Linked DNA regions of Drosophila melanogaster. The protein of the gene in region 2 purifies or fractionates together with the protein of the main gene of each other region. This does not show direct contact. Each region holds a gene or a part of one and is shown on either strand. Other genes may lie near its edges.

Region 1 (5,817 bases), on a different chromosome or scaffold from region 2:
AAATATATCGCAATTTAATCGTACTTATTGTGTGGAGCTGTCCCTTTTTAGCACATGCTCTCCTTATGGCTGACTTGAGATATTGCTTTGCAGCACTTGATGGTGTGACCAGCTGTGTTTTGATGACAGTGCTGCCCATAAAAACGTTTGTGGGCGGCAATTTTGAATGGCTAGCAAAGTGCCTTTGCTGCGATAAGATAAGCAAACAATAAACAAAGTGATTTCTTTTCAATTTAATTTGCACACTTAAACTTTTGCGTTGCGAATGGTATCATAAGTACTACCTTTTACGCCTTCAATTTAAAATAAATAAATGCTTTTGTTACTAATAGCAAAGAATAAAAAAAAACACCCACTCATTGCTAAAGCTCATTTCATTTTTAAAAGATAAGGACTCATTGTTCGGTGAACAAAAGAAAAAGCAGTATAAAATAACTTCTTCCTGTCACTTATCGCTGAATCATCTAAGCGTGATATACGTGATTGCAAACTGAAAACGAAGAACAATCCAAATAAACAAACACCCTTTGCATGTGTATTTTTGTGGTTTTTGTTTATTTAATAATAGATTAATTACCGTACACTTAACCGAGAGAGTCCTATTCGTAACCATACACACTAAATATGCACAGAATTTTGTTGCATCGTGAATAAAAAAAAAAATAGTGAATTCATTGAAATATTAGCAAAGTAACAAAGTAAAGTACAAAGCATTCGCACGGATCAATTACAGCAATGGAAATTAAATGGCCCAGAAAGGGTGTGAATAGATCTGTTTTTTGTGGGGAAAGTTGGTTGGTTGGTTGTTTCGTTAATGGGTAGGACACAAAGCAGAGTTTAATTGAAATACTAACGCGTTTGGAAAATGTATATATATAAAATAATGTTCACATAACAATTGTTTTTGTAGTTTTCGGTTTTTGTGGATTTTTTTTGTTGCCCTGCGTATCAGATCAATTTCAAGTTCTTTTCATGTGGCATTTCCTGCGGTTTTCCTCAATTCGTTTAGCTAACTCGCCGTCCATATTGTAAGCTTGCATGCTAAACACAAAATATATTTTATTTATATATAGATTTCTGTATAGGGGGGGGGCTTCATTCCGATGCATCCCGACCGGAGCAAAGTTAGTTAATTTTGGCCATGCCGTAAACATTCTCATCGGAGTAGGCAATGTACAGGAAATAGTCCTCCTCGTGATGTTCCTATAAAAATACATCGAACGTATGTGATTCGATTGCAAGGCTAATAATAATGGGCATTGTGGTAATTACCTGGTACAGGGAGCCCATGGTAGCCGATGTTGGTGGAATGACGTTGTTCACAAAGAAGAAGAGGGCATCCTCGGGACGCAGGTGGATGCGCTTGCGAATGAGGAAGTAGAACTGACCGACGGTCAGGTCGGAAGGCACCAGGTACTTCTTCTTGTCCAAATCACCGATGCGCGCCTTGGGAGCCTTCTCGACGATGACCTTTGGGTTTAAATAGAAGAAGAAATACAGGAGGTGAGTTGTTGTTGCGGGCTACTTGTGCATGTTAATGTGCGCACATTTCGCACCTGATTACGTGCCCAATAAGGCTCACATATTTGGCTACAAATGGCATTTGCATTGCTGGAAGCAAGTGTGCTCGAATACGTGCTACCTTGGAATATGATAATGCCGAAAACATAAACTATAGTCTTATGAATTCTGATGCTTGCTATCTAGTGTACAAAATACCTTAATATTAATTGAAAACTAATTTGTTTACGAACAACTATACCTGATTGTTATTGGCCTGACTCATATTATATTTAGACAGGAAAATGAGTAATTTCGTAATTTCAGTCAGTAATTTCGTAATGCATTTTGGAATTTCGTAAGTTGGAATGTGTAATTACACACACGTGTGTTTTTGTTCACATATTATTTTTAAGCCAAATTCAATGCATTTTTCAAGGGGTATATGTTTTGTAATATAATTAAGATTTCTAGCACCTGTTTACATTCAAGTTCACCTGTATCATCTGTTTTTTTTTGTTCATTATGCAAAAACACATACACATTTTACAGCATTTTAGCCAAATTGATCACCAAGACGACCAAGTTGGTCATTGAAGTGAGCTTTGTAACGAATCTACTGCATTTCCTTGGCTCTGGAATAATTGCTAGCTGGCCTAGACTAGACGATCCGTTCTAGCCAGGGGCTCATTAGTTAGCCTTAGCCAAATTATTGGCAAACTGGTTTGTCCAATTTTTTTTTTTTGGAACAGGAAGCGGGTGCCAACATAGTGAATACGAAATGGGCAAAAACTGCTTGTCGCGAATGCCACCCCTCTATACACTAGTGTTCTATCGAAATTCGTTATCGTCATTGGCCGAACTCAAGGCACAAGTATGAGATGTGCTAGTACGTATGTATGTACTAAGTATATTCTATAGAATTCGGATATATATGGATATGCTGGTGGTCCGAGCGACCAGCTGGCCTTGCCCCTCGCTCAGCTGTTATGTGATTTGTGATTTGGCACTGCTGCACTTGCCAAAAAAAAAAAACACTAAAATAACACTGGCAATAATATTTCGGGGGTGCATATATAGCGCACATATGTACATATTTGTACATATATACATATGCATATGCAGTCCGAATCAAAATCGAAAACAAGAACTGCACTTTTCGCTGCGATTGGGGCACCTTCAGCAGTTTGTCGTTTCGTTTCGTTTGGTTTTGTTTTGGTTTTTGTGAAAGGAGTTTTCGCTGATAACGTGGTGAAATGCATACATACATAGCAGAAAAACAACAAAGAAGAAGCAGAAGATGTTTTTGTTTTTTTCAACCTTTCTGTTTTCCATTTTTTTTATTATTTTTGTTTTGTGTTCAGCAGCGCATCTATGACTAATTCCAGTCGCACTTTGTGTATTTGCGAAAAACAAAACAAGCAGCGCTAGTATAAGTGTGTATTAGTGAGTATTAGTGACTTTTTTTATGCGCAGTACTCGCTCGTTTTGCCAACAAACAAACGAAATTAAAATCGAAAACAACTGGTTGGTGCACACACAGAAAAAAAACGGGGTGGTCAAAACTTTGCTTGTAACTAAATTATGATGACAGATAGATATATGCGATTTTCTTGCTGTGTAGCCAGAGGGTGGGATAGAGGAGAGGAAGAGGTGGCACAGATGAAATCTAGCACTGAAAACAACAACATCACAACAGCTGAGCAAGTGAAACGGCTGCTTTGTTCTCTCCCTTTTTTTGCTTTTGTTTTTTCCTGTCGACATCTGTGTGCCTGTGTGCGCGTGTATGCGTGCGTATGTGTGTATGCAGGGGGCAGAATTTTCGTTTGAATTTCTTTTGAGAGCTTGTCGCCTGTTCCCCCCACCAGTAATGCAAAATGCACTTTATGCAATACCCATCGCACAAATTTCCCCAGCCACCTGATGTGCCAGTGCAATAATATTGTAATAACAATCGAAATACCCAATATGCGCAGTATTGATTTTCTTCGGTGCAAACACAAAAAAAAAGAGCGAGAAAAAAAACGACGCAAAACAAACGCATACACAGAAGCTCGCACATACACACACACTCGCACGCATATATACACACACACACACGTCTCTTTATACCTATATGCATTTATATATATATTTTTGAGTACTTACGGGCACACGGTCTGGATATTTGCGACGGATCTTGTCGCCCTCGGCGCGACGCTTCTCGAAGGCGTGCTCCTCCTTGTATTGGAACTTCATGATTGCAATGAAGAGGTAATTGGCTAAGAAACGCAGCTTCTATCACTTCGTTTGCTTTTGGGACTGTGCCGAATATCGATGCGTTGCTGAGCTTGTGTTTTTCTCTTCTCTGTTTTCTCGTACAAACGGTACGAAATACTTGTGTAGAGTGACCGTGCGCAGCAGTTGACAGAGCGCTTCGGTCTAAAAATCGATGACTTGCTGGTTTTATCGATAAGCACTCGCACTGTGGTGACTGCACTCGCTAACTGCTGTGGCTAGACTGACCGTGTGTGACCAGTGAGCGCGCAGAGACACCAACCCGAAACGCGCTAATAGTGGTGGCATATTAGACAGACACCATTTGGTTCATGTATTCGCTAAATGTTATCGGATGCAACCATGTGGTTCATGTGCTCGCTAGCAGACGGCTGTCGATATGGTTGTTGTACGCGTTAAATGGTATACACACCTACGGTCACACTGCACATATAACAGTTTTTCGCCGCAATAGAAGAATCCCTATTGTGCCATCGATATTATCGATATCACTAACTGTCATCGATGGATTGACGCAGCAGGCGAGACGAAACGTTAATTGTCAACTGTTCCCTCTGGCTGCTTACACACATAAATACACATCGCACGGAAGAAAAACAAAAAAGAGAAGGATGAGCAGCCAGGGACACCATAAGATGTCCGGCGGCGGCAAGAAGGGCGCCATGGAGCAGGACTACACCGACGTGGTCGATCTGGGCGATCGCTTCTCAGCGGACATGGCGCGCCTCTGCATGAACGAACAGTACGCGGACGTGGAGTTCATCGTCGAGGAGGAGCGCATACCCGCCCACCGCGTCATACTCGCGGCACGCAGCGAATACTTCCGGGCGCTGCTGTACGGCGGCATGGCGGAGACCACACAGCGCCAAATACCGCTTGAGGTGCCGCTGGAAGCGTTCAAGGTGCTGCTGCGCTACATTTACTCGGGCACACTGCTGCTGTCCACATTGGACGAGGATTCCACCATCGATGTGCTGGGCATGGCCAATCAGTATGGTTTCCAGGATCTGGAGATGGCCATATCGAATTATTTACGCCAGTATCTGGCCTTGGACAATGTCTGCATGATTCTTGATGCGGCGCGTCTATACAATCTAGAGGAACTCACCGAGGTTTGCCTAATGTTCATGGATCGCAATGCCGGCGACCTGCTGCTGCACAACAGCTTCAATACGCTATCCAAGGTAAGTTCACAACCAATTGGTAAAGTTGGCACTAAGAGTATGTAATGCTTACAGGAATCGCTGGAGGAGGTACTACGGCGTGACTGCTTCTTCGCCCCCGAGGTGCAGATCTTTTTGGCCGTGTGGAAGTGGAGCCGCTTCAATAGCAACGTGGACTTCAAGTCCGTGGTTAGTTATGTCCGCCTGCCACTGATGAACCTCGAGCATCTGCTGCAGGTGGTGCGTCCCTCGGGCATCCTGGATCCCGACAAGATTCTCGACGCCATCGACGAGCGCAGCACTTCAAAGGCGCTGCCCTACAGGGCGGCGCTCTGGCCGGAGGAAAACGTGGCCGCGGAGACGTTTTTGTCGCGCTGCATCCAGGGAGAGTGTCGCGACGCGCTGCTGGATGGAGATGTGACCACCTATGACATGGAGAACGGGTATACGCGCCACTGCATTACGGACAGCAAAGATGCGGGCATTGTGGTCGAATTGGGCACGTTCTGCATGATCAATCACATTCGCATGCTGCTCTGGGACAGAGACAGCCGGGCGTACTCCTACTACGTTGAGGTGTCCGGCGACCAGCAGCATTGGGATCGCGTGGTCGACTACAGCGACTACCACTGCCGCTCCTGGCAATACTTATACTTCGAAGCACGACCCGTCAGATTCATTCGACTGGTGGGCACCCAGAACACTGTAAACCGGGTAAGTCAGCAGTGATCTCTTCAAACTTTCCCCATTCTTTAACTTTTTCCCTTTCCATTAATATATAGGTATTCCATGTTGTGGGTCTGGAAGCCATGCACACGGCCAAGGTGCCGCGTTTAGTTAACCATTTTGTGGCGCCCAAGACGAACGTGGCCACCGT
Region 2 (5,499 bases):
GTCCAGGTGGGCTCGCCTTCACAGCGGCCGAGAACTTGGAATCATTCAACGCACGCCATTGGAGCACATCGGTCCTGCGGTCTTTTCGCTTGGGCAACATCATGTGCAAGTTCACCAACCGGCTGTTTGTGTTCGCCCTGCTGCTTGTGGCACTTGGAAGAATTCTGGCCCAGCCCGTTGGCGGCAAGACTAGGCCAGGGAATTCGAGGAACGTGATCAGCGACTTGCTGGACGTCTTATACGACGACTATTCCGAGAATGGTTTTCAGCGCGAGGACATTCTATACGACCAACGGCAAAAGGGTGGGGAGAACTATCAGTTCAAAGTGGATGGGGTCGTCATCGGAATGGCGCCTCAAATGAGCTCCAGCTTGCTCTACTCCATGGCAGAGTCCTACTTGAGTGAGTACTACTGTAATAGAATCGAATTGCCGACATAACACTAATTCCACGCCAGGTGAAATGTTGTTGCGCCAATCTACACCGGATCCAGATTCAACTCAGATGTACGAGAGGGATCCTGAGACCGACACAGACTCTGGTTCCACCGAGGGCGTAACTAAGATTCCTGAGCTAGCCCAGATTAATTTGGAAAGCAGACAACATCAAATTGTAGCTTCTCAAACTGCCAGCCGGTTAGTACAGCACTAATATGTAATTCTGCTTAGAAACTAATTAAAAGATGGTTTTTGCTCAGATCTCCAACTCAACTGCTCCAATTGCTTAAGATGCTCAAAAGTTCTAAGGCCTAAAATGATATCTTTAGATACTATGACAAGAAATTAGTCCTAAGTTCTTGGAAAATACATAGCAAATAAAATCATTCTTCGAATTTAAATTTCCGTTGATCCCATTGGTGCTGTTCCACTGAACAATATTTAAAAAGTTCAAAATCACTGTACAGTACTTGGTATTTTAAACATCCATCACTTTTCCATTCAAAATATATAAATATTGAAAAGCATGACATACGATGTTTTTTTTTTTTTATTTTAACTTAGTGTGTCAACTATCTTTATAAAAAAAATTAAAATTTTCTGGGAATCCAATAGAAAGCTCAGTCTGGAGATGAATCCTCGAAAGCGGAGCTAATTTGCAAGCAAGACTCGGCATCCAATAGTGGATATCTGCAGATCGTCCGATTTGAGAACTCCGAAATCATATGCTTTTCATTCCTATTTTCTTTAGATCCCGGACAATTGATTTCTGTTTTTTTTCTGTTTTGATTTTCATCATCGATTGATTAATTTCCATGAGGACATTGTTTTCAAAGCTTTTAAGACCGCGAATAAATCCAGTCTCATTCAGTAAAGATTCGTGAAGGCAATTTCGTGTGATATCAAGATATATATGTATATTCGGAAATAATGTTCACGTGAACCTCGCGATTTGGAAGTTCAATCCTTTGAAGGATTGAATGATTAGGACGCCATCCTTTATATGTTTTAGATATAAATATCACCCTTCACCTTCTCCAGTTTGATACCTATCAATATTACTAGGGAATGCATTACGACGGAATTCAAAACATCTTGAAAAACCTCCAATTACCCCAGTTCAGATTGACCGTTTTATTGCCTCCCATTTTTATAGTTCCGAAGAAAATTACGAACGCAGAGGCATCATTTTAGATTACCTAGATTGCCAAGTTTCATAAAACAAAACCATCTTTAGATTAGGTTTTCAATATTTCGGGTTTGCTGATTTCGATATCGATAAGAAACTGACGTATGTATGTGTGAAGTTTTAATGGGTAAAAATATCGATATTCTGGCGAAATTTTATGTAAAGCAAAATGTGAATGTAAAAATACTAAAAGTGGTGAGTTCGATAGAGCCGCGTAAAAATATTTTCATTATCGATAACCGAAGTATTATTAATCTTTGCCAAAGACCAGCTTTGGCATTACAATACAATTTTGGGGATAGATTAACTAGTGCAGCCCAGCAGGCAGCACCGTGATTTGCAACAATTTGAGCCTCACTCATTCAAGAACCTTCCAGCAACTAGTTCGCCTAGTATATATACCTGCTCTCACCCAGCTGCACTTGTATACACAATCGAACGGCCGAACAAAAACTACGCAGTAGTCGAGAGCTCCAAATTAATAGAATCCGTCACATAAATTCGCCGCAACAAGTTAAACGAGAATAAAAGCGTCAGCATCGATATATATACATACATATATTCAAAAGTCTGTCGAAACTACAGAATACGTTGCGAAAATGCCGGAGAAGCTGTTGAAAATCACCTACCAGGGCGCTGGACCCCAGAAAAAGATAAATGCATACCTGCGGATGCCCTCCCAGAATTACACCATATTGCGTCGCGAAATCGAGCTGTATCTTTTCCAGGAGCGCCAGTTACCCAAATGCGACGTAAGGACCTTCTGGATCGGTGAGTTTTACAATGAAAATGCCGCAGAGTGAATGTTTGCTATACATACAAACAGTTATTCGCAATTGCAATCGAGTCGCAAAGATTGCAACATATGTGCATGGTATAAGTACATTCGTTTCCATACATAACTGCATCCGTCCGAGCAGTGCTGACCATTTAGCTTTTAAGTCTCGTTACTTAAAAACCAGCCCAAATTATTGCGTACTTTGCCCAACAAAGCAGGGATTCACCTAGATAGTATTCCTGCTCAATGCTTATCATTGGCAAAATTGTGTTGACACATTAGCTGATAAATATGTACATATATATTTTTATGGTACAAACGTGGTCAACATATTAGATGCACTGTTTCATAAATGGCACACATACAAAACATTTTTGATTTTACATATTTCTGAATTCTCGAATTATACATATATATTTTAAATACATCTAACGCGCTTTTTAATTTGTAAAGTATGTGTACATGTACTCATATACATTTACATAGATCAAACGGGTTGTGCTGGTACAACCACAACTGTAGCTAATTTGTCTAACTAGAGCCCTCAGTGATTCACCTTTGATAACAAAACTTCACTGATTCATAATTGATTTTATTTTCCTTTGCCTATTCTAACTTTTGCAGACGCTGATAAAGATGAAATCGAAATAGTCAACCAAAATGACTATGAGATTTTCCTGGCCAAGTGCGAGAGCAATATGCACGTTCAGGTGGCTCCACTGGCGCCCGTAGAGGAGCCAAAGGCCACCAAGCAAGAGGGTTCTTCGGCCAACGCTGAAGCTCCTTCTGTCGACGATCCGAGCAATTTCACCATCCACGACGCCGTTGAATGCGATGGCTGCGGCTTGGCTCCCTTGATTGGGTTCCGCTACAAGTGCGTTCAGTGCAGCAACTATGATCTTTGCCAGAAATGCGAGTTGGCTCACAAGCATCCTGAGCACTTGATGCTACGCATGCCGACCAACAATGGACCCGGTATGGTCGATGCCTGGTTCACAGGTCCAGGATTGGGACGCCGCAGTGGCCGGCGCTCCAGGGGACATTGCCCGTTTCAGGAGACGAACCAGGCAGATCCTGCTGGCGAACCCGCAAGGGATAGTCGCCGTGAACGGCGTCAGGCCCGCCGCCATGCCGGAGTCTTGACTCAGTTTGTCGAGATGATGACCAACTTGCCGCTGAACACAACAACGGCCACGGCACCAGCCGAACCGCAGAAACCGAAGGCTGCAGAACAAACTGAAAGTCCTCCACAAGCTGAGCCCACTGTTACCGCTGAAAAGGCAGCTGAATCCGAGGCCAAACCAACTGAGCCGAAGAAGGTTAACACTGATCAAAGTGTCCCTAGAACCGAAGATCCAGTGACGACTCCACGTTCCACTCAGCCAACTACTCCAGTGATTAATCTGGATAACATTTCGCAGATTGTGCCACCCGAGTACATGAGTGCTGGCATCGAAATCCTTAATAACTTCAGCGAAATGTTTTCCAAGATTATCGATACCACTGAGGGCGGTGATTCGGGAATTTTTGCGCCCTCAACGACTCCCAGTGCTGAGAATAAGAAACCAGAAGAGCAGGGTCAATCCAGTGGCCAGTCGGGGGCATCCTCGGCCAACCAGTCAGCTGTTCCCTCTGCCGCTCCATCGGCTAATCAGTCTAATGTCCCATCTGCTAACCAGTCGGCCACTCCATCAATTTCTGGTTCGATCCCTGATGCTCAGCTTGAGACAGAGCCCCTGAATCCTAAGCCATCGGAAACCACCACCGAAACAGAGCAGGAAAGACGCCGTTCAGACAGCTTGGATCCAGAGTGGCAGCTTATTGACAATGCATACTCTGCAAACAATAGTAACTTGATCAATCTGGACACAACCAATCCCACTGCTGCTCCTCAGGAGCCGGTGCGTGATTTTGGTCAGCTGGGCGAACTATTGCGTCAGCACATGAATGAGGAGGCTCGCGTGGAGCAGGCTTCGGCCAACACCCAGACTGCTCAAGTTGATACGGTGAGTACATCGACCTCGACCACATCGGTGACCACCAATAGCGTCGGCACCTCCCCAGCAGCTCCCGACGACAAGCGCACGGTCCCCGTCTACCACACTGGTAAGTGCCGAATTAAATAACTAATCGCTTTGTATTAATTATGTCTCCTAATTAGATGAAAGCATCAATAAATCGATCCATGCCATGATGGCCATGGGTTTCAGCAACGAGGGCGCCTGGCTAACCCAGCTCCTAGAGTCGGTTCAGGGCAATATCTCAGCTGCCTTGGACGTAATGAACGTATCGCAGAACCGCAACTAAATATTCATATTCAATATCGATATATCTACAATGTATCTTCAATATCTATAGAACCCAATGAAAAAGGGATTTTACTTTATCGTATCAGTTTACTACGTAGCTTAGTTTTTCTGTGGTGCTAGATTTATCTCGTAGCCAAAATAAATGTGAAAATAGATATATGTTATGTTTTAAATAATCAACAAAATGTTATCGTATATATATGTATGTGTGAAATTGCAATAAAGGCACAAAGTAAAATGATTTAAAATGCCTGCTTTATACCTGATATGGTTTTGTTTAGTAGAGTACGATTGACAGACAACAAAAGCCTCCTCCACTTAGATAATGTGTTTATACGTATGGTATAAATCGATTCTGGTTTTTCAGAGTTCAAATCCGCAAAGCACTCGAATTATTTCTTGAGTGATACACAAATCCACAATACTGTGTTTCGGAATTCGATTCGTTTCCTGTAGTATTGATATTCCAGTGTGAACACTACTCGCTTGTCGAAAGAGCCTCAAAGATCTTCTCTAGCTTCTGCTGCATCTGATCCAATAAAATAGTCTGTCGCCAAGCCGGCAACATCTCGCACAAATCTCCGGAGTTCGTAATTTGCAGTCGTAATGGTGGCAATAAATGTGAAAAATTTGAAGAGCTTCTGGTGGTGTGCCTTCCACTGTCGCCGACCGAATCCCGTGTTATATCCGAACATTTGAGATACCATCAGAACGAGGAATCCGGACAATCCGAAAAATCGATGAAGCATTTTCAAGGCGAAGCCACTGTTGATGAAATACAGCGGA

The links.
Region 1: the proteins of ref(2)P (region 2) and Atg8a purify together in Drosophila melanogaster (affinity purification with western blotting; 2 studies listed by BioGRID). This does not show direct contact.

What each region holds. Positions count from the first base shown.
Region 1 is NC_004354.4:10,764,333-10,770,149, forward strand, and holds Atg8a (Autophagy-related 8a), read right to left. Parts: upstream 4,007-5,817; 5' UTR 3,739-4,006; coding exon 3,649-3,738; intron 2,975-3,648; exon of another isoform or gene 2,836-2,974; coding exon of another isoform or gene 2,821-2,835; intron 2,325-2,820; exon of another isoform or gene 2,046-2,324; coding exon of another isoform or gene 1,998-2,045; intron 1,471-1,997; coding exon 1,273-1,470; intron 1,204-1,272; coding exon 1,126-1,203; 3' UTR 546-1,125; downstream 1-545. Other genes in the region: BTBD9 (BTB (POZ) domain containing 9), read left to right, coding at 4,389-4,961, 5,016-5,654, 5,723-5,817.
Region 2 is NT_033779.5:19,540,592-19,546,090, forward strand, and holds ref(2)P (refractory to sigma P), read left to right. Parts: upstream 1-1,876; 5' UTR 1,877-2,225; coding exon 2,226-2,397; intron 2,398-3,028; coding exon 3,029-4,510; intron 4,511-4,565; coding exon 4,566-4,711; 3' UTR 4,712-4,957; downstream 4,958-5,499. Other genes in the region: CG13081 (uncharacterized protein), read left to right, coding at 102-402, 458-635, 698-752; CG10337 (uncharacterized protein), read right to left, coding at 5,214-5,499.